2 linked regions of the Canis lupus familiaris genome follow. The protein of the gene in region 1 purifies or fractionates together with the protein of each later gene. This does not show direct contact. Links are inferred from orthologs where the notes say so. Each region holds a gene or a part of one and is shown on either strand. Other genes may lie near its edges.

What was found.
Region 2: the proteins of RNF139 (region 1) and INSIG1 purify together in Homo sapiens (affinity purification with western blotting, with the first as the bait; 3 studies listed by BioGRID). This does not show direct contact. The link is inferred for Canis lupus familiaris from reciprocal best matches to the Homo sapiens genes RNF139 and INSIG1.

What each region holds. Positions count from the first base shown.
Region 1 is NC_049234.1:22,968,930-22,981,233, forward strand, and holds the start of RNF139 (E3 ubiquitin-protein ligase RNF139), read left to right. Parts: upstream 1-6,187; 5' UTR 6,188-6,228; coding exon 6,229-6,409; intron 6,410-7,070; exon of another isoform or gene 7,071-7,149; coding exon of another isoform or gene 7,150-7,344; intron 7,345-12,304. Other genes in the region: putative deoxyribonuclease TATDN1, read right to left, coding at 7,150-7,336. UniProt on the Homo sapiens protein: E3-ubiquitin ligase; acts as a negative regulator of cell proliferation through mechanisms involving G2/M arrest and cell death.
Region 2 is NC_049237.1:18,987,357-18,999,525, reverse strand, and holds the start of INSIG1 (insulin-induced gene 1 protein), read right to left. Parts: upstream 6,602-12,169; 5' UTR 6,531-6,601; intron 5,990-6,530; 5' UTR 5,965-5,989; coding exon 5,565-5,964; intron 3,345-5,564; coding exon 3,220-3,344; intron 2,716-3,219; coding exon 2,549-2,715; intron 1,986-2,548; coding exon 1,886-1,985; intron 1-1,885. UniProt on the Homo sapiens protein: Oxysterol-binding protein that mediates feedback control of cholesterol synthesis by controlling both endoplasmic reticulum to Golgi transport of SCAP and degradation of HMGCR.

The sequences.
Region 1 (12,304 bases):
ATTGAAATCTTTACAATATTGGGTCTTGAAGCTCTTACTCTACTCAGTTGGGAGCAGCTCTGGAATAAGAAGTGATTATTAGAAGCCCGGACTACAGGATTCCATCTAGGGAGAAGGGTCTTATCCATCTTCTTTGGGCTCCCTGCCTCAGCAGATGTTTCTAACTTAGTATTGCTTATACTCTGCCTGTCAGCAGTATCTTGGCCCTCAGATTATACTTGACCATCTCTTTACATGATTGACATATTTGAACCTATCACCTATTTACATTCTAATATAAATTAAGTACTACAAATGTGACTTTCACATAAAACAACCCAAACTAACAAATAATATCTTAACAGTAGTCCTGAGCCATACATGGAAGCATTGCAAAGTGTTGTATGTAGTATTGTAAGGGTTCCAGTATTTCTCCTAAAATTTGTTCACCATACTAATTACTATTACATACTGTATATTATACTAAGTACTTAAAATATATTGTTTTAATTTGTGTAACCAACATGAAAAATCACTTGCAGAGGACCAGATAGGCTCTGGAATCAGAAAAATACCAATTAGAAACTTGGCTCTGCCACTGTTACTGTTACTTTCAACAGGTTTTTTGAGATTAAACTGGATAATGCATGCTATAGATTTCATATCTTATCTGGCAATATTAACCTTTTTTTTTCTTTTTCCCAGGTGAGGATTCTGATTATTAGAGTTTAAGTACTCTGTCTAGAGACAGAGAACTAGCAAGAAGCAGAAGTGGGCAAGCATACTGCCAAGCACATAGAAAGTGCTCAGTAAATGTCTGTTACATGAATGAATGAACCAAAGTAGTCAGTATATACTTAACATGGATTCCAAATGTCACAGTGTTCTCTGTTGTTTCTTTTGTTAACTGAACAACAGACTCTTCCAATTCATATTGCATTTACAAAACCAGAAAACTCAAGTAGAAGCTGAATTTTGATGGGCATATCTGAAATTTAATGAAGTGAGAAAAACCATCAGGTAATTTCAGGCCAGAAATTATTTTTTTAAGTAATTTCCAAGGTGTGAGAAAAAGTTATGGAACATATTTATTTCTTTTTGAGCTATCAGTTCCAGTCCTTCCTACTAGCATTCTCTTCTTCCATTTGAAGTAAATACATAATTCATTGGTGGGGAAGAGGGTGGGGTGGGTGGTTCTAAGTCCTTGTTTCCTATTGCTTTCTCCCACTAAGGAAGCTGCCTGCACCTGCCTTCTGGTACAGCTATGGAAGATACATGGTACAATAAGCTTCACCAATTGCATATCACTCTTGAAACTTGAAAAATAATGAAAATAATTCTCTAATACCTTTTTTACTTAAGATAGCTCAGAATCATTTGCTGCTGTGTGGAACAAAGACTTGGTAAATGCAAAGATCAATAGAAAATTCAGATAAGTTTTCACACATCTTACTTCCAAAGGCTTTTTAGAACTACTAAAAGGCATTCAGCCATTAAAGCCAAATGAACAGATTGTTATTCTTAAACACAGGTAATTTATGTATATAGAGTGTATCTGTATGAATACACACACACCGTTCACACTGCTCTGTATAGATTCAATATGAATATGTACCTGAGTTGTGCCACACTCATCAATGTAGAAGCCAAGCAAAGATTAAATTCAGTGAATTGCAGCTGTTTCTGAAGCTTATTTAATTTTTTTTTTCATTGTGGTGGGTGCTATGGAGCGATTATGCTTTTTAGGAATTTAGCTTCTGTTGAGAAGATGACTAACACAGACATTTCCTGATATAAAATTGAGAAAACCTCTTGCAAAGCTAAGCAACCCATAGCTAGTAAGTTCCTTTTGTAAAAAAACGATTCCTCTGAGTTTTTCCTCATTGTTCCCCTGTTCCAATCATAGCATCTATCGAGTGGTATGGTAATCACCAACTTTTTGGTAGTACAGGATTTTTAGTACAGAAAGGGCATCCCTTCATCTTTACTTGCAGGTGACTATTTCTCCTAACTTAACCGGACCCATAAAATATAAGCAGGCAGGGGCGCCTGGGTGGCTCAGTCGGTTACACATCCGATTCTTGATTTTGGCTCAGGTCATGATCTCAGGGGCATGGGATCAAGCCCCGTATTGGGCCTCCCTGCTGGGCATGTAGCCTGCTTAAGATTCTCTGCCTCTGCCCCTCTCTTTTTCTCTCCCTCTCTAAAAAGAAAACAAAACAAAAACATGTAAACAGGCAACTGGAGAAACTCAGACATGATGAAACTGAACTTAGAAATAAAGGCTTTGAGATGCCAAATGTAAAAGCACCCCTGGAGTAGGTAAAATCTTTTGAAAGCTTATGTTTTAATATTCCTAAGCTTTCTAAAATCCATCTCAGTAATATACATTTAGTTTTAAGGTAGTATTTTGAAGTACTTTGCCAGGGTCTTACTAAACCTTCATTTTATAGATGGGGAAAGTCAGCTCTAGAGTGCTTTACCATGTGAGATAAAGATGACTATTACCACCACTCCTGAAAGTTCTTGGCCCAAATGGTATTTAGTTTGAATTACAAATTCTTACACTAAGGGGGCACCTGAGTGGCTCAGTTGGTTTAAGTGTTTGCCTTTGGCTGGGTTCATGGTCCCAGGGGCCTGGGATCGAGCCCCAAGTCAGGCTCCCTGCTCAGCCGGGGAGTCTGCTTCCTCTCTCTCTGTTCCCCTCCACCCCTTGCTTTCTCAAGTAGATAAAATATTTAAAAAAAAAAATTCTATACTGGGATGCCTGGGTGGCTCAGCGGTTGAGCGTCTGCCTTTGCCTCAGGGCATGATCCCAGAGTCCCAGGATCAAGTCCCACATCCAGCTCCCTGCGTGGAGCCTGCTTCTCCCTCTGACTGTATCTCTGCCTCTCTCTCGGTGTCCTTCATGAATAAATAAATAAAATCTTAAAAAAACTTCTATACTAATAAAATTTGTGCCATTTAAGAAACCATTAAAACAATAAGGGCCGAAGCATTTTTACAAGATTTTTATTTACTATTTACTACATTTAACTTTTAAAATAAAAATCTGAGGAAAACCCATGAACTATTTTATTCTCCATTTTACATAATCCTAACATAATGGTACTCGCCTAGCCTTCTCTACCACATTCCTGTTTTAGATTAATCCTTGTGGACTCTTCTCTGTAACAGCTTCTTTTTGCTTTAAATTGCCATCAGGGCAGAAAAACAGGTGAGGTGAGAAGCTAATTTACGTCTCTGAGGTTTTCTATATAAATAAACCTTAATAGTCCTCTCATCTTACCGAGTTTGCTTTCCTTTGGGAATTTTGTCAGCACCATGAGTTTATTCCCCAGATGTGTAATTTGGGAAAATTAACCTGGCAGAGGTAAACAGACTAAAGTAGGAAAAACGGTGATCATAATAATCACAATGAGGATATTGCAGTTAGTCAGGCAAGCTACAGTAGGATCTTGGGTTGATAGTGGCAGTGACAATAGAAAGCAGACAGGTACAAAAGACTGAGGAAAGAATGGGTGCAATGTGTAGCAGACTGGCTGTGGGTGAGAAGAGGAAGATGCTTGAAGTTCTAAGCTTCAGATAGCCCTGGGTTCTTTTTTTTTTTTTTTTTTAATTTATTCATGAGAGACACACAGAGGCAGAGACACAGGCAGAGGGAGAAGCAGGCTCCATACAGGGAGCCCGACATGGGACTCGATCCCGAGATTCCAGGATCACGCCCGGAGCCGAAGGCAGATGCTTAACCGCTGAGCCACCCAGAGATCCCAGCCCTGGGTTCTACTCTTACTAGCTATGGTCACACTAGCTTACTACTTATATATGTACTTTGTAATTTTGATGACCTATGTAAGCCTCAGCTTCCTTCTCTCTGAAACAGATAATACCTACCCTCTCTGATGGCAGAGAGTGAAGCATAATGCATGGTGCCTGGCACAAAGTAAGCACCAGATAGATGGCAGTCGTTATTAGTGGGGAATAACAACAAAAGGTTAAAAACATGACACTGAGCAAGAAGTTTGTGAGTCAATCATCCTACCACACGTAACTCCACCCAGAGACAGTTGGGAGTTTTATAATCCTCCCCTCTGGAGGGTTTTTAACTAGTATAGGATGATCACCCATATAGGTCCCTGACATGAAAAGGACAGCAGAGTGCAGTTTGGGCTAGGAGCCTGAATGAGTCAGGATCCTTCTTCTTCCTGTTTTACCTCCTTAAGATGGCCAGGTTAGTAAAGCAGACTCTGACCTAATTTACACTCATTTGCTGCTGAAGGAAAGAAAAGTAAGGATGGCCAAATTATGTTAGTTACATGGGTAGGCAAGAAAGTACAGGGGAGGAAAAAAGACCTCTTCTTTCCTGGTCTTAAGTCCTGTGGCTGGGGCCCTGGAAATTAAATTCACAAACAAGAAATTAACAAGAGAAAAACAGTTTATTAACTCCTGAGTGCACATGCCCACGGGAGACAGTGAAGATGACTCAAAGGGGGGGCCTTATATATATACGATTTGGGGCTTATATATTATCTTAACAAAAGAATAATATGGTGTGCGGGGGGCGCCTGGGTGACTCAGTCCTTAAGCATCTGCCTTCGGCTCAGGTCATGGTCCCAGGGTCCTGGGGTGGAGTCCGAGCGTGGGGTGTTCCTGATTCTCCCTCTGCCTCTCACCCCTGCTCCTGTATGTGCTCTCTCAAAAAAGTAAATAATTTGGGGGGGCGCCTGTGTGGGTCAGTCTAGACATTAGCATCTGACTTGATTTCAGCTCAAGTCCTGATCTCCAGGGTCATGAGGTCAAGCCCCTTGCTCAGTGCAGAGTCAGCGTGAATTCTCAACGTCCCCTCTGCCCCTTCCCCTGCTCACTCTCTCCCCACTCCCTTAAATAAATAAATAAATAAATAAATAAGATCTTTAAAAAAATAATAATTGTGTAGAGTAGTGACAAAAGAAAAAGGGGTCTAGGCTTTCAGGGGTCGCAAACTCACGGTAAGTTTAAACATGGGGGAAACTGATGGAAGAGAAGGCTCGTGGGAGACAGTCTAAGAGGTGCCTTGTTCTTCGAAAGGCAGGAGGAGACCCCTTTACAAATGGAAACTTACGGCCTACTTTTCAGACGACTGTCAGGAGAGCAGGCCGGGATCTTAAAAAAAAAAAAAAAATTATTTGTTTTAAAGCTGCTGCTGTTTCTCGACTACCTTCAGTTCAAAGTACCCCTTGCGTCAGGTGGCGCGGGTGGCATATGCTGGTCCCGACAGAAACCTGCGCAGGAGAGCGGCGGCCTGGGTGCGCTCACCTCAGACCAGACACGAGGACGAGGCGCTCAGTCAGAGGCCCCGACGTTAGCACACCGCGGCCCGCCAGCGTCCTCGGTTCTGCCCGGCGGCGCAGGGCGGACAGGGCGGCTCTTCCGGCAGCGCGGCCGCACCCACCCGGCGCCACGTGGCGCGGCCGCCGCCCCCCGCGCGCCCCGAGACGCTCCTGCGGGACCCCGGGCGGCCGCCTCCCAGCCCCCGCCCCCGCGCGAGGTGCGGCAGGTCCGGCGGGCGGCGCCCTTCGCTTCCCTCCTCCCAAGCAGCTCTGAACGCTTCCGGGACGTTTAATGGACCAGAATAAAACAGCTAATAATTCCCGCCCACGCAAGCAGGGAGTCCCTCGCAGAGCCAGCGCCGCCTCCGCCTCCAGTAAGGAAGCCACTCTGTCAAGAAGGCGCGGCGGCCCGAGAGCGCCTGCGCCGTGAGGTGGCGCCAAAGCCTCGAAGGCGGGCGGAAACCATGGCAACGCGCGAGACGATGGCTACGCCGTGCGTGATGACGGTGTGGGGAGCGCCCCCAGCGCGGGATTATGATGCAATCAGTGGCGCGGGCTCCGCGGTCTCGCGTGACCGCGGGCGCAGCCTCCAGGCCTCCAAACAGCAGCAACGGCAGAGGCAGGCGGGCGAGGTCAAGATGGTGGCTCCGCGGGCGGGGGAGGTGTTGGAGGGAGGAGGAGCCAGACCTTAGCCAGCCGGAAACACCGACACCCAGAGGCCTCCCGGGAGCCGCCGCCGCTACCTCCGCCGCTGCCGCCTCCGCCGCCTGCTCCAGCTCGAGGGACGCGAGCGGGCGGCGGGGCGGGCCGCGAGGGAGAGCCGCGAGGAGGGAGGGCAGGGGCGGAGTCACCCGCCGTAGCCCCCGCCCCCGGCCGCGGCCCCGGGCCCTGCCCCGCGCGGCCCTGCCCGGCTCGCCCAGCCCCGGTGTGGCAGCGGCTCATGGCGGCGGTGGGGCCCCCGCAGCAGCAGGTGCGGATGGCCCATCAGCAGGTCTGGGCGGCGCTCGAGGTGGCGCTCCGGGTGCCGTGCCTCTACATCATCGACGCCATCTTCAACTCCTACTACGATTCCAGCCAAAGCCGGTTCTGCATCGGGCTCCAGATCGTCCTCCGGCTCCTCGGTGAGGGCGGCGGCGTAGCTCGCGTCCCGGGACGGCTGTGAGGGCCGCGGCGTGCTGCGGGGAACGGGCTCCGCGCGCAGCCTGTGGGGAGCGTGTGTACGGGCGTTCGAGGACCAGCGGTTTTTTTCGCCAATAGGGGCGTCTTTGCAGGTTGGGAGGAGGGAGGAGATGACACTTGTCTCGGAGCTGACAGCCGAGCGTCCTCCTAGAGTCAGCCCTCTGTTGGTGTTTGCGCCCGAGGGTGAGGAGAGCGCGCGGATGTGCGAGCCTGCGGCGCTTCGCCTGCTGTTTCTCCTGGGGAACGGGCGCCGGCCGCCTGAGGAAAACAGCAGCCGTTTGCCCCGGGTCTCGCCGCCTGTGACCTTGGGCTTGTAGTGCCAGGGCCTGGGCCTCAGTTTCCCCCTTTCCCCAAATGCGGAGTACTGGTGTGTTGTCACTTCTGTATCCACGAGGTCCACGTGATCGTGGCGTGTCCGTGGTAAATGACATCCACGCGAAAGAGTCCGGGTTTTGAATGTCCTGCCTCGAAACCATTACTAGAAACGCTCGTGAAGGAGGCGATGCCTGTAACGAGTCCTGAAATTTTCCATGAATAGAGAGGTACCGAAAAGTGGTTATAAAAACGTGGCTAGAAAGTGATGAGACTTTTCCAAGGGAAGAGTTCTGAAAATCAGTGTCTTTGTTGCACATGAATGGAGTGTTAAAAATCTCTTACGTTTCACTCCCCATCTACCCTTGCATTACCAGAGTGAGAAGCATTTATGCATACAAGAATTTTTTAAAGTAATTGAAACTTGGCAAATTTTGTTGATGAGGGAATTCTTGTGATCGGTGTTTAGGAGGCTTGTGATTTTGAAGCGTTGCTGAGGAAGGGTTGATGATGAGATCCTAACCAGGCCTTTCTGAATTAGGAGCCATCTGTTGCTTCTTTATTCCTCAAAAAAAAAAAAAAAAAAAAGAATTTTGTTATTGGCAGTTTGTTTGGTACTTTACCTTTGTAAAACATTTTCACTAACCTAAACTTTAAACATCCCTCAGAGGTGGATTGTGTTGTTCTCGTTTTTAAAATGAGGAAACTGAGAGCTATAGAGGTCAAGTGTGTTTTGCTTTAATATACAGCAATTAAGTGGTTGTCAGAGCCTGGGCTTACAAAGCTTCTGACATCAAGGGTGGTTCACTTTCCTCCTCCATACAGCTGCTATCCAGATACAGAATGGTATAGTAATGATCCTATACTAGATCTTTAAACTAACAGATGTGAAAATGATGATCTTAGCACCAGACTTCTCAGGAACCACTAGCTGCTTAATCCCAGTCATTCCCACTTACCACTGCAAAAGTGTAATGCCCTCATTATTTGTGGCAAAAGTGGGCCTGTGTGATTTCACAGTATATACAAATACGAAATCATGTTTTACACCTGAAACGAATGTTATGTCAGTTATACCTCAGCTTAACGCATTCACTAGTTTTAATATTTCATACTCAATATATTTTTGGTTAACTCTGATAGTCATGGGTAAAAGTGATTTCAGTAAAATAACATTAAAGTGAAATTAATAAAGGGGACCTGTTGGGAAGGCATTTTATTTTTGCCAATTAGAAACCACTCATCATGATCATAAATTAACAGGCTAATCTCAGTATAGTTACTTAAGTATTCCAGCTGAGGCGGATGAACTGCCAGCCCTCTTTCCCCGCCATACCTACCCACATTAGGAGATGATATGTATGCAAGCTAGATCTATGCCAATTCTTGGTATGGAGAGAAATGAAGAAAAAAAATATTATTTTTATTCCTCAACCCCATGGGATGAGAGAGAGCTTGCTAGAGAGAGAACAGAAGCTAACAGACTTCTAGGGAACTTTGTCATTTTGGGATAACCCAAGTGCTGCTTTGGAAACTAATCAAGTATAACAAAGACAAAAGGGTCGGAGGATGACTTTCCTCACTTCTGTTTTGAGAGGAGGTCATGATACAGCAACAAAACCCGAAAAACAAAACTGCTGTGTTTGAGAGGATTCATGTATTCACTTGGCAAATGTGTAGCCACTGCCTTGAATATGCTTTTGGCCTGTGACTGCATATCCTCTGACAGTCTCTTTGTGACCAGGTCTTTAATGCAGGGCTCTTAGAGTTGAGCTTTAAGGAAAAGGGAGTAGTCAATTAAATCATATGTATTTAAGAACACTGAACAGTAATTTTGGTATTTGTAGTAAATCATGGAAGTTCGTATTCGACAAGTTAAAGTAGAATGTGACCTCAGGCAAGTTAACTGCTCTGTACCTCCTGTTTCTTATCTTTACATTTTTAAAGGTGGGCAATAATGGTCTGTCATAGGATGTTACGGATAATAGTTAGGATGTAAGCTCATAGAGCAGTATTTGGGACCTAGTAAAGTCTACTAAGTATTAGCTATTAATAAGCCTGATAACTTTTAAAGAAATATTCCTGTACTTCAATTAAGACCATACTGTTTACAGATATTTTGGTCTTTTGAAGGCATCAGTATAATTTTGGTGCTTTGTTCCCAGAGTTTTCTGTTTACGCTTTGTGAGAAATACAAAATATTTTCCAGATCGCTCCTTACCTTATGCCACTATAGTTTGCTAATTTTTCACATTTGTGAGAATAAAATTCTTAAAAAAAAAAAAAAAGATTTATGTATTTTAGAGAAAGAGCATAAGCAGGAGAGGTAGAGAATCCCAAGTAGACTCCCCACTGAGGGCAGACCCTGCCCATGGGGCTCTGTTTCAGGACCCTGAGATCATGACCTGAGCTGAAACTAAGAATCAGACGCTTAACTGACTATGCCACCTGGGCACCCCAAGAATGACAAAATTCTTAAAAACTAGTTTTTTGCTGAAATTCACCCTGAATAAAAACACATCTTCAGTATTTGAGGTCCAGTCAATGAGGCAGCTTATGTTACTGAAAGTGATGGATTTGTGTGTAATAGGTGCCAAAGGATAGTTGAAATTATTCTACACCTGATTAGGTTTTTTTTAAATAATTGTAGACGTTTCAGTATTACTATATATAAATCTCAAAACTTGTCAGTCTCACCTTTTTCTGTAAAATGAAATTGTAAAAATGGAAGCATTACCAATTTTATATCTAGTCTCTGAAGAATTTCCCTTCCCCTACAAAAAAGTACTACCACAGCACCTTTGGTATCAAAATACTAGGAGAATTTCAGCAGATGAGAGAATATAAAGCATCTCATTTGGAGATCTAAATAAAATCCAATCACAATATATAAAGTATTTAAGCATATTAAGCTATTCTTAGGAGGTGTTAAGTGCTAAATGAAATGCAACCCAGTGCAGCATAATGCTGAATTAACAAATCTAAGGCAGAAAATGCAAGCATAGGAGTTTGTTTTACATGTAATGGTAATTCATTGAAGTGGAAAGGCCTTTTTAAATATACAAGAAAAATAAATAAATATACAATAAAATCCCAAAATTGCAAGGGAAAATTCGATACATTTGAATACATAAAAAATGAAAAACTTTTATGATAAAACTTTTTTAAAACAATTCTAAAAATGACAAACTGAGGATACTATTCGCATTGTATGAGATTGAATAAGTTTTACTCTGTCATTAAGAAAACCTTATACTCCCAGAGAAAAATGGGCCCAGGATAAGTAGTTCCCAATAAATGAATGCAGATGGTCAATAAGCAAAAGAAAAATACTCATAATTTTAAAAAATGCAGTAAGAACAAAATTTCAGTTATCAGATTAGTGAAGAGTTAGATCAAATAAAAACTTGTTTGTCAAAGGTGTGGGGAAATGAGTAAAGTTAGACAGTTTTGGTATGCTGTCACTTCTTTGTAAAGGCATTTGGTACTGCCTAACTAAAACTCAGCATACACCTTTTGACTCACAATTCCAATTCTGAGAATTTGACCTAAAGACATAGTTGTACTTGTTCAAAGACTATGGGAAAGGATTTTTGTTGAAGCATTGTTGGTAATAACAAAATAAATTGTTAATCTAAGTATTTATTAAAAGGGAATCTGTTCTTTGTGCTAGGTTTAGACGTACAATAAAGGTTTTGAAAAGAATGAGAGCGATATTTGGTGCTGTAGAAGGAACTCAGAAAACCTTTGAAGTGAGAAAACATTGCAGCAGTAGTAATTTTGACACGATAGGGATAGATTAGGAATTTCTCGACAGCAACACTATTGACATTTTAGACTGGGTAATTTTGGGGGGAGGTGGGGGGGGTGCTGTTCTGTGAATTGTAGGAATTTTAGCAGTGTCCTTCTACCCATTACATACCCGTTACATACCCTCTTCCCCTTTTTGTGATTGCTAAAAATGTCTCTAGGTATTTATTTATTATTTTTTTAAAGGTTTTATTTATTCATTCATGAGAGACACAGAGAGAGAGAGAGGCAGAGACACAGGCAGAGGGAGAAGCAGGCTCCATGCAGGGAGCCTGACACGTTATCGCAGGTTCCCTGGATCACATCCTGGGCGTAAGGTGGCGCCAAACCGCTGAGCCACCCGGGCTGCCCCTGTCTAGGTATTTAGATAGTGCCAAATGCCTGGTGTGGGGGTGGGGAGGTTGGGTTGGTAAAAAATCTGATCCTGGTTAGGAATCACTGAAATGGACAAATAGACCAATAGCACAGAATGGAAAGCCCAGAAACAGAGCACCCATGTATATAGAGAAACTTACTTTGTTTCAGAGGTAGAATCGAAGTACATCCATTGAGGTAAATACAGATTATTCAGGTATTGGTCATTCAGTATATGGAAAAAATTATGCTGGATTCCCTACCTCACATCAATATATAGACAATTCTAAGTGGGTTAATACCTAAATGTGAAAAGCAGAACTTTAAAATTTCTAGAAGAAAATATAGAAGTATTACAGAGGGTTTTTTTTTTAACCCTAGAATAAGTGAGAAATTCTTTAAACATATATGGAAGTTAGGGTGCCTGGGTGGCTCAGTTGCTTAAGCCTCTGACTCTTGATTTTGGTTCAGGTCATGATCTCAGGGTTGTGAGGTTGAGCCCCACATCGGGCTCTGTGCTGGGTGTGGAGCCTGATTAAAATTCTCTCTTCCTTTCCCACTGCTCCTCACCCCCTCTAAAAATACATGTATGTAAAAGTAATATAAAGATTGATAAATCTACTAGTATTAAAATTAAAAACCTTTGTTAATCAAAAGGCAGTATCAGAAATGTGAAAAGATCAGCCACATACCTGGTGAAGATATTTGCACTATAGGTAACTGACAAAGAATTTGTAGTCAGAATATTTTTAAATGTCTAAAATTCAAGAAGGAAAAACAACTCCATAGATAAGTGGATAAAAGATAAATTGGCAATTCACAGAGGAAGAAGCATGAGTGGTCAATAAATTGGAGGAACTGAGTGGGAAAAATTAGAGGGAGACAAACCATTAGAGACTCCTAATTCTAGGAAACAGGGTTGGGGGATGGGGTAACTGGGTGACATGCTATGAGGAGGACACTTGATGGGATGAGCACCTGGTGTTATACTATTTGTTGGCAAATTGAATTTAAATTAAAAAAATGTAAAAAGAAAGAAAAATTGGAGGATCCCCTTGCTGATAACTAATCAGAAATGCAAATTTTTTTTAAAGTTAAAAAATATACTCCACTTTTCAATGAGATCCTCTTCAGGTAAAAAGCGAAAAAGAATGTTTATGAATGTATATTTATGTAAAACTTTATTCTTCCTCTAACAACTATAGGGTTTGACTTTTAAAAATATTATATTCAGATTTATTTTTAATAAAAACATGTTAAAATCTTAGAAGCAAAAACTTAGTGTTCTTATTAACAAAGGAGTTAAAACACCCTTTTTAGCCCAAGATGAGATTTTGATAGAAAATATTTCTTTATGCTCT
Region 2 (12,169 bases), on another chromosome or scaffold:
TGAAGGGAGCCTCCACTTCTGAGGACTCTGCTAACCTTCCCTGCAGCTGGGACCCATGGGGAAGGAAGGATTTCCATTCTCGAGGACAGAAACAGTGGTGCATGGGGTGGGTGCAGAGCCTTGAGACGCCCGCTCATTCTGATGACCTGGGAGGGGAGGTGACTATCGCTCCCCACGTTTCAAGGTGTGAGAACATCCTTACATAAGTCTCTCCACTTTTAAAGGCTAGGGAAGAGCAAGCTTCAGTAAGGAGAACTGCAACTCTGTGGCTCGCTTGTTTTGTTTAAAACTTACCTTTATCAAACTTTCACTTAATTCTGATATTTCCACCATAACGACCGGGGGCGGGGGGGGCGCACAGCAAGGATCATCTGCTAACACAATCTATAAGCAGCGGTAGTTTCAAAGGTATGACGTGTATGACTCTTCAAATCAGTTCCCTCCAACCATTTACCATTTCTCGGTGCTTATAACTCGTACCCGTGGAAGTCACTACCTCTACGGGACTAATGCTTACTTCCCAACCCCGGCTTAACCCTTCCCTGCAAATACATAACAGCACCAGCCGAGCAGCCTGAAACCACAACATGCAACCTGTCAAACGTCATTCAGATTTTTGTTTTATGAAGTCACCCTGTTGACAGCAGTTTTACCCCAAAAGCCATATTAGGAGTTCTCTACTGAAGCTACTGAAACAGAAGCCGCACGGCAACAAGCACCGGTGGACAGACAGAGGGCAGATGGTGGACAGATACAACCAGGTGACGTGGGCCTGCCTGGTTCTAGTCGGACAACCAGTCAGTGGGCTGCATGGGAGGGAGCCAGTGCATGGGGTGTCTCATGTGAGGCTGCAAGAGTCAAAATAAGCAAGCCAAGTCCTTTGACCCTCACTGGGGCTGCAAGAAACCGTATTTTCATTGAGTTCCCATTTTGGGCACTGGCCCCAAGGAATTGCAAGGCATGGAGGGAGGGACGGTGAACTCCAGAACCAGTGGGACATGCTACACATTTTATCTTTCTGAAATTAGTTCTATTTTTGTGAAACAGCCAAGTGGCCTTCAAATTCAGCTCCCGCAAGTGAGTATCAGCTGGCACAAATAAATGTCCTGTTCTATAAATAGCCTGAGGGACCGAGATAACTTTTCTGAGAAAGCCCCAGGGCTGATGTGAGGGCAGTGGCCCTCGTAAGACTCAGCAATTCTCTTCCGTTCGTTTTACTAAAGCCCTAGAGTCAAAGTCAACTCCTGAGAGAACTTTCTCGTACTAATGTGTTCAAATGTGAAACTGTAACTACTACTGTATGTGAAGGTAGAACCACCAAAATCATCCCTGACTCCCTCTGCCCTTCCAGGTCTCAAGGAATGGTCAATGGCTCCGAGCCGTGTGACTCCCTCTACGGCCGATGGCAGGGCTTCCAGGGAGGCTGAGCCAGGTCCCCCAGCCCAGGATGTGCAGGGCCTGTCTACCCAGGCCTCAACCTGGGTGCAGGGCCTCTGCTGCATCTCCTGCCCGGGCATCACCTGCCCTCGTGGGATGGACAGCGGACACCTCGTCATCAACTATTAGCCATTTCAGTGACTTTATCTGCCAGCCACTGGACTCGCTGAGAGCCTAGAAAGGTTGCTGAATGCATCTATAACATGAGGGGTCACCCGCCAACCCTGGCTGCTTCCTAGTTCATCATGAGTTCACAAATCCCCAAATCTTTATCATTTAGCAAAGAGTTGCCTTGGTATCATTGGGTTTTTGTTTTGTTTTTTTTAAATTTATGCTTTTCTCTGTAACTGTTGTTCTTGGGTCTCAACCACACATTACAATGACTCGTGGGCAGCCACTTTATCAGGCGAGCGATCAGGCACTGGGAGCAGACCGCCGCAGGACCTACCATCGCCAGCTGCCGTCCTATGTTGCCCACGGTGACACCTCCTGAGAAGAAGATACACGGCAGCCAGGAGCGGATGTAGAGAAAGTCTGGGGACGTGTATCTGCAGAGAAAGCAGAGGAAACGGTACCTAATCAGTCAGCCTCCCCGAGCCTGGCTGGCCTCTGGGGGAGAGTCCACCAGTGGGGAGACGCACGATGCGCAGCAGCCACAATGGGCCGCAGGACAGTCCCGTCTCACCGCTGAGCTTACTGCCACTGCTTCACCTCCCTACGGTTAAGTTATGGGTGGTACATTTTTTTTTTTAATTTTTTTAAATTTTTTTTATTTATTTATGATAGTCACACACAGAGAGAGAAGCAGAGACATAGGCAGAGGGAGAAGCAGGCTCCATACACCGGGAGCCCGACATGGGATTCGATCCCGGGTCTCCTGGATCGCGCCCTGGGCCAAAGGCAGGCGCCAAACCGCTGCGCCACCCAGGGATCCCTGGGTGGTACATTTTTAACATAGGAATCAACAGTAAGTATTTTTGAGAATTTCATGCCTAAGTCAACATCATGTATGTATTAAAAAAAAATATGGCATCTCAGCTTAGTGGGCGTTTTTAATAAAAGTGAAGTCATAGCTTCTAGGTGACGTAGATATGCTAGAGAACATACTTACTGATAGACACCATTGTACACCAGCAGCTGAGTGATCAGAGTGGCCAGGAAGGCAATAGTGATCCCAAGCCCAAGGCCACTTCTTGAACGGTCAAATGTCCACCAGAGGCCCAAAGACAGGGCTGCTAACGTCAAGGAGAGCTGGACGTTATTGGCAAAATCCAATTTCTGGTGATGCAAGGTTAAGGACAAGTCCAGTGATTTTTAAGATGCTCAAAATAAGCCAAAGGAAAAAACTAACAGAACAAGCAAACAAAGCAACTCAGATCCTATACATGTTGTCATTATTATGTACCACATAAGTCTCCATCTAAAAAACCCTCCCCAAGAACAGGGACCCTTGGCCTCCTCTCACTGGGCCACAGAAGCCAGGTCTTCTTAATGGAAGATTATGAGGGTGAAACGTAAAAGAATTTATAAAACCAATTCCAAGGAACCAGGAGCTACTGTCTGACAAAACAGAAAGTCCACTCTGCTTCTCGTATTATTTCAACAGTTTCCTGAACTATTCTGAAAACTCTATACACCAAGCAATATGCTTTAAAATAAGATAGTTGGAAGAAGATCATTCCACTAACCTATGAGATAATATATACTCGTTAGAAGTAAAAAAGTGCTTCAACATATGACCTAAGGAAATGCCCTGGACGTAGCACATCCTCTGAAGGATACAGCACTGGCGTGGTTGATGCCAACAAACACAGCCACACAGCGCATCACGCTGGCCCACTCTCTCTTAAACTTGTGTGGTTCTCCCAGGTGACTGTCGATGCAGGGGTACAGCAAGCCCACCACAGCTGCCAAAGAAAACAACATAAGTCAGCTCTATGAGAACACACATGAGAACACGCCAGCTCTATGACAACAGGACTTCTAAGTGCGATTAACAGATTATTCAAACCAGTTCTTTTCCTAGAAAACATATATGCTATAACACAGCATTTGAATTAAGTCTAATTTTTGTTGGTCTTTTTTTTTGTTTCGTCTTCCTTGACTACAAACAAAAGGATCACACTGTTTTTGAAAAATTGCTGTTCTTCAGTTTAATTAGACACAGAACTCAATCAGGTGGGGGGGGGGGGTTAATTATCCATATAATGCTGTGACCAGTCAGCCATGCTGAGCCACCCCTGTGAGTCCAGGTCCTGACCTGTGGGAACAGCCTGGGACCAGGCCCAGGGAACCAGGCCCCTGGTTCACTGTGGGCTCTGATGGGACCTGGATCCTCATGTTTGTTTCCTCATGTGTAAAATGACAAGGGTTATGTAAGCAGAAGGCGGAGTAGGAAGAGTTAGGGAGTTTTCACAGGCACAGATTTTTAAAGGAGAGAGGACACAGAGAACTTAGACAGGGGGAGGGTGTGGCACTCAGGGACATAGTAAAGGCAGGAACAAACAGGGTGCCTGGAGGCTGCTGGGGATCCAGGCCCACGGGACCAACTGTGGGACATGGGGCTCAGCACTTAAAGATGCCAAGTGCAGAGGCTTGAAAGCCAAGGAGCAGTTCCACCTGCTATCCTAGGAAAGGAGTAACTAGTTCAGGTTCCTGGACAAATAAGGGACACAGTTCTGGTGAAAATAATCAATGAAACTGAGAGTTTCAGTTTCAATTTTGTCTTACAGTTTATCAAATTCTAATTTTAAGAGTTTTGAAAACTGAAACCCAAACAATTCTATAACTTATTTAGCTATAACTTAATCTTACCTTTTAAGGTTAAAGGGTAAAGAGGCACAACCGTACTGAAGAATTTTGCCCTATGCTTATCTGGTAATTTTTTTTTTTTTTTTTTTAAGGAAGGTATGAGAAACTGAGAGAGTGCAGAATTCCTTGACGCTTCAATTGCAAATAAAACCTAACCTAAAATATTTCCTTTTTAAGACCGAATTTTTGATTCAGAGAAAGAACTACTGTACCAAATGTGCATGAAAGATGGGATCTGCTCTAGGTAACTTTCTCAAAAAGGATTTTTAATAGGATAGCTGTATGATTAAAGGATTTAGAAAGGCAAAGTAGGATCCTACCTTTCTAAGAACGGAGATGAAGGCACTGTACCCACTGAGTGGGTGCTCTACCCCCACCCCTCACCCGGCAGTGACTGACGTGCCCTGGCCAGAACATAGCTTCCACTCCCAGCCCTGTGCCATCCAGCTGTTCTCAGCCAGTCTGCTGCAAAGAGGATGTGTCTCCACAGTGTAGGGGACACACCCAGACTCCAGGGAGGCAGTTTGCAGAGTTATGCACAGCGGTCTGCCGTTTACTGTGTCCCCTTAGACAGGGATGCTTAAAGTCTCTGCACCCAGTTTCCACATCTGTGAAATGGAGCCATCACAGAGTACTGTTGTAAGGAGTGAACAGGCTTAAGTTGTAAGCACGTAAAACCCACGGCAGGCAACCCATCAAGGCTGGACACACAGCCCACAGCGCGGCACCCCCGCGACGGCTGTCCCACTTGGGTACACCTGTGCTCTGCCCAGCAGAGCGTGGCTCCCCGAGGGCAGGGGCCGAGGGCTGGGGCCCGCCCCGCCCGTTCTCTACTCCCGCAGCTGGCAGCTGGCGAGGCTGCAGGAAACGCCTGACACGGCGCGTATGCACGAAGGCTGCGCCGCTAGAGAAGCGCTAGGCGGTCTTCCGAGCCAAGCCGAGATCCACCACGCGTGGGCACGGGAGCAGAACAAGTCCCCCAGGAGTCAGCGGCCCCTGCGCACGGAGTCAGCGGGCGGCACCCCGCGGCACCCCGCGGCCCGCCGGGCGTCCCCTCCGCCCCGCCCCGCCCCCGCCCGGCGGGGCGCACGTGACGGTTTGTTTTCGGTGGCCGGCGGGTAGCGTGTTCGCGCGCCGGGCCAATGGCAGCGCCGCCGTGCCGCTCACCAGTTCGCCCGCCGCCAATCCGGGGTGCGCTCAGCCCGGGGACGGCGGCGGGCTCGGCGCGCGCGGCCCCCGGGCCAGGTCGGCGGGAGGCCGGCCCGGCGGCCCCGAGCAGCGCCCCCGAGCGGCGCCCCCACCCCCGCTGCACTCACCGGCCGCCGTCCCGCAGCACGGCGGGACCCACCAGGCCGACGAGAAGATGGTGGCGATGACCTCCTCGGGGAACAGCGTGACGTTCCGCTGCACCTGCAGCAGGTTGAGCACCAGGGCCAGCACGACCCCCACCGAGAACAGCACCAGGCTCCGTCGCACCAGGTGGTGGTGCCAGCTGCCCGGGGAGCCGCCGCCAGCGCCGCGAGCCCCCCCCGCCCCGGGGCTGCGAGGCCCGTGAGCGGGCGCGGGGTCCGGGCCGCGGCGGGCCGCCAGCGCCGCGGGGCTGAGCATGTCTCCCACTTTAGCCGCCAGCCCTCCGGCCCCGGCCACCGGGAGGCCTCGGTGCCTGGCGCCCTGGGCGCACGAACAGCTCCAGCAGTGGTCGTCCAGCCGGGGCATCGGTCACCGGGGCGCGCCGGCGCTCCTGCAGGGAGAGGGGCGGGGCCCCGTCACGCTCGCGGGCGAGGGGAGCTGGGGAGCTGGGGAGCTGGGGAGCTGGGGAGCCGGGCCCGGGCGGCGTCGGGCGGAGGGCGAGGTGCGGGCCTCGCGGCTCGCGCGGGAAGCCGGGGCTCCGGGCGCCCGCAGACGGCACGGCCCGCGCCCAGGTCCCGCCGGGTGCCCGCTGGGTGGCGCGGGGCTGCGGGCGGCGGCGGCGGCGGCCAGGCGTCTGGGACCGGCTGCCAGCACCGAGCGGCCCCGGTGCCCTCCGCACGCGCCTCCAGCGCTGGCCCGTCCGGCCCCAAAGTTTCCCACACGCCGTCCGCGCGCAGCGCAAGTTACCCGGGCCCGGGGCAGGGGGGGGCCGAGCCGACCCGCGGGGGTCAGGCGTGCAGCTCCGCCCCGGGGCCGGGCCCGGGTCCCCGCGGCTCCCGGGGGTGGGTGGGGGCGCCCGGACCGCCCCAGGCCCCGCGCCCCCGGCTCCCGCCCCGAGCTCGGCCCCGGAGTCTCCCACGCTCCCCGCGTACCTGTCCGGGGGGGCGCCCGCGCGCGGGCTCGGGGGGGAAGAGGTCGCGGCCGGGACCGCCTGGAGTTGGGCCCGTGGCGCGGGGCGCGCGGCGCGGCTTATAAGGCGGGCGGTGGGGCCCGGGTCACGTGACCCCGCCCGGCCCGCCGTCGGGGGGCGTGGCCTCCGCGCGCCCCGCCCCGCCCGCGCGCCCGTCCGCTCGCGGTCTGGTGAGGCGGCGGTGGCCAATCGGAGGCGGGCGGCCCATATGACGTCAGCACACGCCACCGCCACCTCGCGCCCGGCGCTGGCTCGGGAGCGCGGACGGCCGGCGGGTGGACTGCGGGGCGGCGGGGCGGGTGGACGGCGGCGGGGCGGCGGGGAGCTGGGGGCCGGCGGGCCCGGAGGGGAGGGGAGGGGAGGGGAGGGGAGGGGAGAGCGGGCGGCGGGTCCTCCCCGGACGTGGCGCACGGTGGCGTCCCCTGCTAACCGGCCTCTGCACCGCGCCGGCAGCAGGTGATCGCGCTGCACCTGCCGCGTCACCTGACGCTGCCCCTGTTGTGCCCAAGACCGCGCATCCGAGAAACCGCCGAGGAGCCGACGCCGCTGCAAGTACATGAGGGTTTATTTGCAAGCTGGAGCTTGGGTCCAAGTGTACCCGACACAGCGGAGCAGGGGCTCGGACCCCGAGGCTAAGAAGCACAGCAGTGTTGCAGGGGTCCGTGCCCAGGGAGATTGTAACACACAGAAAGTTGCACAGTCATGTCGGTGCGCACGCAGGTGGCCGATTGAATTACGATTCGCCCTATAGTGACCATTTGGACTAGCCTATTATTCTGGTTAGAGTTGGCGCGCAGGTTCGGCGGCAGAAGACGGGGTTTTCATTCTTTGGCGGTTAAAAGTCAGAGGTCCCGCATTCCTAGGTGTGCTGGTTCCTGATAAGGGTGTGCTTAATAGCTAAACTGGGGTGAGGGAGTGCCTTAAACAACAGGCAGGTCGTGTGGGGGGTTTTACATGAGGTGGCGGGTGCAGCACAAAATGGAGTTAGTCCTGCTCTGCTTGTCCAGGGGTAGGGCATTAACGTCAGATTTCCTGGGTCCCACAGCCCCTACCTCTCCTGTCTGGCCCGCTTCTGCAGAGCCTGACGGTCCCCACACCTGCTCCCTGGCCTAGGTGGGTGGATGCCCCGCACGAAGCCCGGCGCGGAGATGGAGCTGTCGGCGGGTGTGTGCTTCCCGGCGGCCTAGAGGGGTCCAGAAGCCCTTCTTAGACATGAAATCTTTGATGAAAATGCAGATGATGCACTTTTCATTCCTGCAGTGACTTCTCCCACGTTCACGTTGCCTTTCCTTATTTACGGAAAGCAAACCATCACACGTACTGCAGAAAAACAGAAAATGTAAACTCTTATTAAACTTTACTCTTCAAAAGCAGATTGCTTTACCTCGTTGATGTGTAATGTGTTTCGACCCTGTTTCCCACATGTGTCACACCGTGCCCCGTGCTAATCTCACATCTTGTTGAGCAAGATGGTATTAAGATGTTCCTCAACAGTAGCGGGGGAAGAGTCCGTGGTCTTCTGTAGTGTCCCCCATCAGCAGAGATTGAGAGGAAGTTGGGACTTAGAGCAGATCCTCTGGTGGCTGAGAGACCCCGGGGGCTGAGGCAGCATGAAATCCCATTGCACGTGGCAACTTCAGTATCAGGGTTTGTGACTCGGTGCCAGAAGCTTTAAAAAAATGGAGACAGCCTCCTGAGATACTCATATTTTTCAAAGTTCCTTTTTTTTGTTGGGTGGGGAGATGGGAGGGGAGGGTTCACATGATTTTTTCAATGATGAAACAGGAAACTTCAGGAAAAAGTAGTCTTACAGTGGCTGTGTTCCCACTCCGTGACTTTAAGGGGTGTTTCATTAAAGTTTTGAGAAGCACAGCGTAAAGACACTTGCCATCCATTAATTAGCTTGTTACTATTGCATCAGCGTCCATGGTGGGTTTTCTGCTACTGCTAACTTATAGGCCAGACACAGCCTGGTTATGGTGTAAACACCCTACAGCCAGTCCATCATGCCAACCCAGTGTGAACGTAACCTACTAATCTTTTCTACCTCCATGAGAGCCTAAGTTTTTAACAAGTTTCTTCATCATGAACTATGACAAAAGTGTTTTCAAACACTCCTGCATAATCAAGACTTATAATTTGCTAATAATGTCACTTGTTTGCATTTCTTGGGCACGACCCAAAGTGGAAGTGGGTGGGAAGGAGGGGTTCCGTCCTCACGTCTCTCTGTGAGAAGGGCAGAAGCTGGCTTTCACACTCTGTGTATCCCTCTCTAAACCCTGATCACCACTATAAACCTTGCTCCCAGAAGTTCAAAGCGCTCTTGACTTCATGGCATAGTGTCATGTGGGTCTTGGCCATTTTCTCCACGCATCTACTGTAAGTGCACACCGTTGTAACATTGGAACTTTGTAAAAGCAAAAACATGAAAAGCTGCCCAACTGTTCACTGATAGGAGATCGTCTGGCTCAATGACGGCACACGTATCCAAGGGACGCTATGTAATCACGTCACTGCCGGCTCAGCCATCAGCAGCCAGTGTTCTCTCTCCCTTCCCCTGCCATCAGCCTGCAGTGTCATATGCAGGTGGAGAAGCACTTCTTTCAATCAAGGTGTGAATCTTGTGGACGTGGATCTGCATCAGCCTCGGCCCTGAAATGTCGGCATGTCATGGACTCAATCAGGAAAGACTAGTAAATGCAGGGAGCTTCTCACCAGCTTTCAAAAACTGGTCCATTCAGGTATATGAGGCCCAAGAGCAGGGGGGACTGCTCTTCACTTACCTGCCAAGCTGCTGTGTAGGTGGATTCCTTACAGCACTGAAATTAGCATATCTGTCTTCTGGGATCTAAGATGTGTTAGGTTTTCTTTATGTTTTTTTCTCTTGCCATTTTGCCTGGCCATGCAGACTACTCCAGTGTCGCTTTTAGTGTAATACCCTTATGTACAAGTACAAACCTTATGAAAATACATATTTTTAAAAAGATTTACTTATCTATTTGAGAGAGAGTGTGTGTGCAAGTGGTGCAGGGAGAGGGAGTGGGAGAGAGAATCTCAAGCAGACTCCACTCTCAGGACCAAGCCCGAGGTGGGGCTGGATCTCACGACCCTGAGATCATGACCTGAGCTGAAACTGAGAGTCGAACACTCAACTCACTGAGCATCCCAGGCGCCCCTCATGAGAATATTTTATAGGTTTCTGTGTTGTCTGTCTCCTGTGTGGAAACGGACTCTCCATTCCATGAGCTTATTGGTGTGTTAAGGTCTGTTCATGTGCCTATTTCTCTCCCTGCCCCAGCTGCTGGCCACACAGTCCAGCCTCTGACCCCTCATTCCCTCACATCTGTCCTGGGACTTTGTGAATCAGGAGCCCTCCGGGAGCCGCTTCGAGGCCCAGGGAGCCTGTGGGAAGTGGGAGGGCTGCCTGCGGACTGTGTTCTGTTGGGTCCTTGCTGAGGGCTGTGGATGTGGCCTCAGTACTGCTGCCCCACGGCCTGTGGTTTGCTCCAATGCCGGTGGAATCTGGTCCCACGAATGAAGTTAGGCTAGGGGAATGGCAATGGAAGAATGTGAGTGTACATTGTGAGGCTTGCAAACCACAGGCTTGGTTTCAGAAACAATATTCAAATATTTTGAGAATTTGCAACTCCATTATCCCCAGTGACGTTGTTATTGTTGCAGCTTCTCTAATACATAAGGGCTCTCTGTCCCCCCCCCAGCCCCAGTCAGTTACTCAGAGTTAAGTATTTAGGGAAATGTGTTCAGGAGAGCATTTAGTTCTTAATTACTTCATTTTATGTTAATCATTCATTATAGATGGGCCATCATGCAAGGAAAGTTTACTGTTGGTAATGGACCAAATGCTGTGACGTACTTTCTTCCCAAATCACTAACTCAGGACCCAAGACCTCTGTAGCTCTCTAGACACAGAAGACTCAAGAGAGGAAGGGAAGAGCCAGGTGTCTAAGACCTTTGAGAGGTCTTGCAGTGAGTGCCTATAGTCTGTATTCCTACTATTGTGTTTTTTTACACATTAATAACCATTTATAATAAATATTTTTAAGAATAGGGTAGAAGGCTAAGTATATTGTTTTTAATAGAAGAACATCACATGCTCGTTTCATTCAGAAAATATGAAAGAATATATTTTATTTTAGTATTTTTTAATTAAAAGATTTTATTTTTTGAGAGAGAGAGAGAAAGAGAGAGAGAGGAGGAACAGAGGGAGAAGGATAGGCAGATTCCCTGCTGAGTATGGAGCCTGACATGGGGTTCAACCCCATGACCCTGGGATCATGACCTGAGCTGAAACCAGTCAGAGGCACAACCGACTGATCCGCCCAGACGCCTCAGGAATATATTTTTAAAACCCATAATCCCAGTGACCAGAAATAATGTAATATTTCGGGGTGTGTACTTCCACATTTTTTTCCTGTGCATAAGTGTGTGTTTGTGTTTAAAACAACTAAGTAAGATCATACTTCACATATAATGGAACCAGACCTTCAGAGATAATGAGTAGCTCTCCAAGTCAATCAGTATAGATTAGGTCATCGTTTTTAAACAGCTTTATTAAGATACAATTTACTAACCGTGCAGTTTCCCCATTTAAAGTGTACAATTCCATGGCTTTGGTATATTCACAGATGTGTGCAATCATCACCACAGTCAATCCTAGAACATCTTCATCAACCCAGAAAGAAACTCAGGCTTTAGCTGTCCTTTCCCTCCCCACCCTCCACCCCATCTTCCAGCTTCCGCTCCCCAGCCCTGGGCAGCCAGCAATCAATTTTCTGTGTCTATAGGTTTTCCTGCTCTAGGAGTTTATATGAATAGTATTATATAATAATGTGTTCTTGGGGGACTGGTTTCTTTCACTTAGTGTAATATTGCAAGGTTCACCTATGTTGTATCATGTGCCAATACTTTACTTTTCATGGCTGAATGATATCCCATTTCACAGAAATGCACATTTTATTATCCATTTACCATCTCATGGATAATTTCGTTGTTTTCACTTTGAGGCTCTGACGAGCAAAGCTTCCGTGAACGTTGGTATGTACATCTCTGCGGGGGCATGTTTTACTTCTCCCGGTGGGGCTGCTGGGAGTACAGTGCTGTATGGAACTGCTAGACTATTTTCTAGAGCAGCTGCCCATTTCACATTCCATCCAGAGGTATACAAGTATTCTGATTTCTGCATATCCTTCGCAATACCCGTTACTAGTGGACCTTATGTTTCTCATTATCCTAGTGGGCATGAGGTGCTCAGGTCATGATTCTGGTAGCAAGATAGTATTCTTGTATGTTGAGGAGCATCTTGACTTCCTTGTTAAGACTTTATTGGCAAGTGTCATACGAGGGTGAGGCAAAGAGGTGAGTAGGTTGGCAAAGAAGGAAAAGCAAAATGCAAGGTAGTGCCTTACTGAGTCAGCTGCAGCTGTGTGAGAAACATGTCCGGGATCTGATTATACAAGATGTCTTCCACTTTGCAGGAACAGTCCTCTGGGGGAGAGAAGCATACCTGTCAGGGCTCTGTCTGGTGGCTCCAGGTTCACCCCACTTGGTCCAGGTTCGCCCCCGTTGGTCCAAGTTCATCCC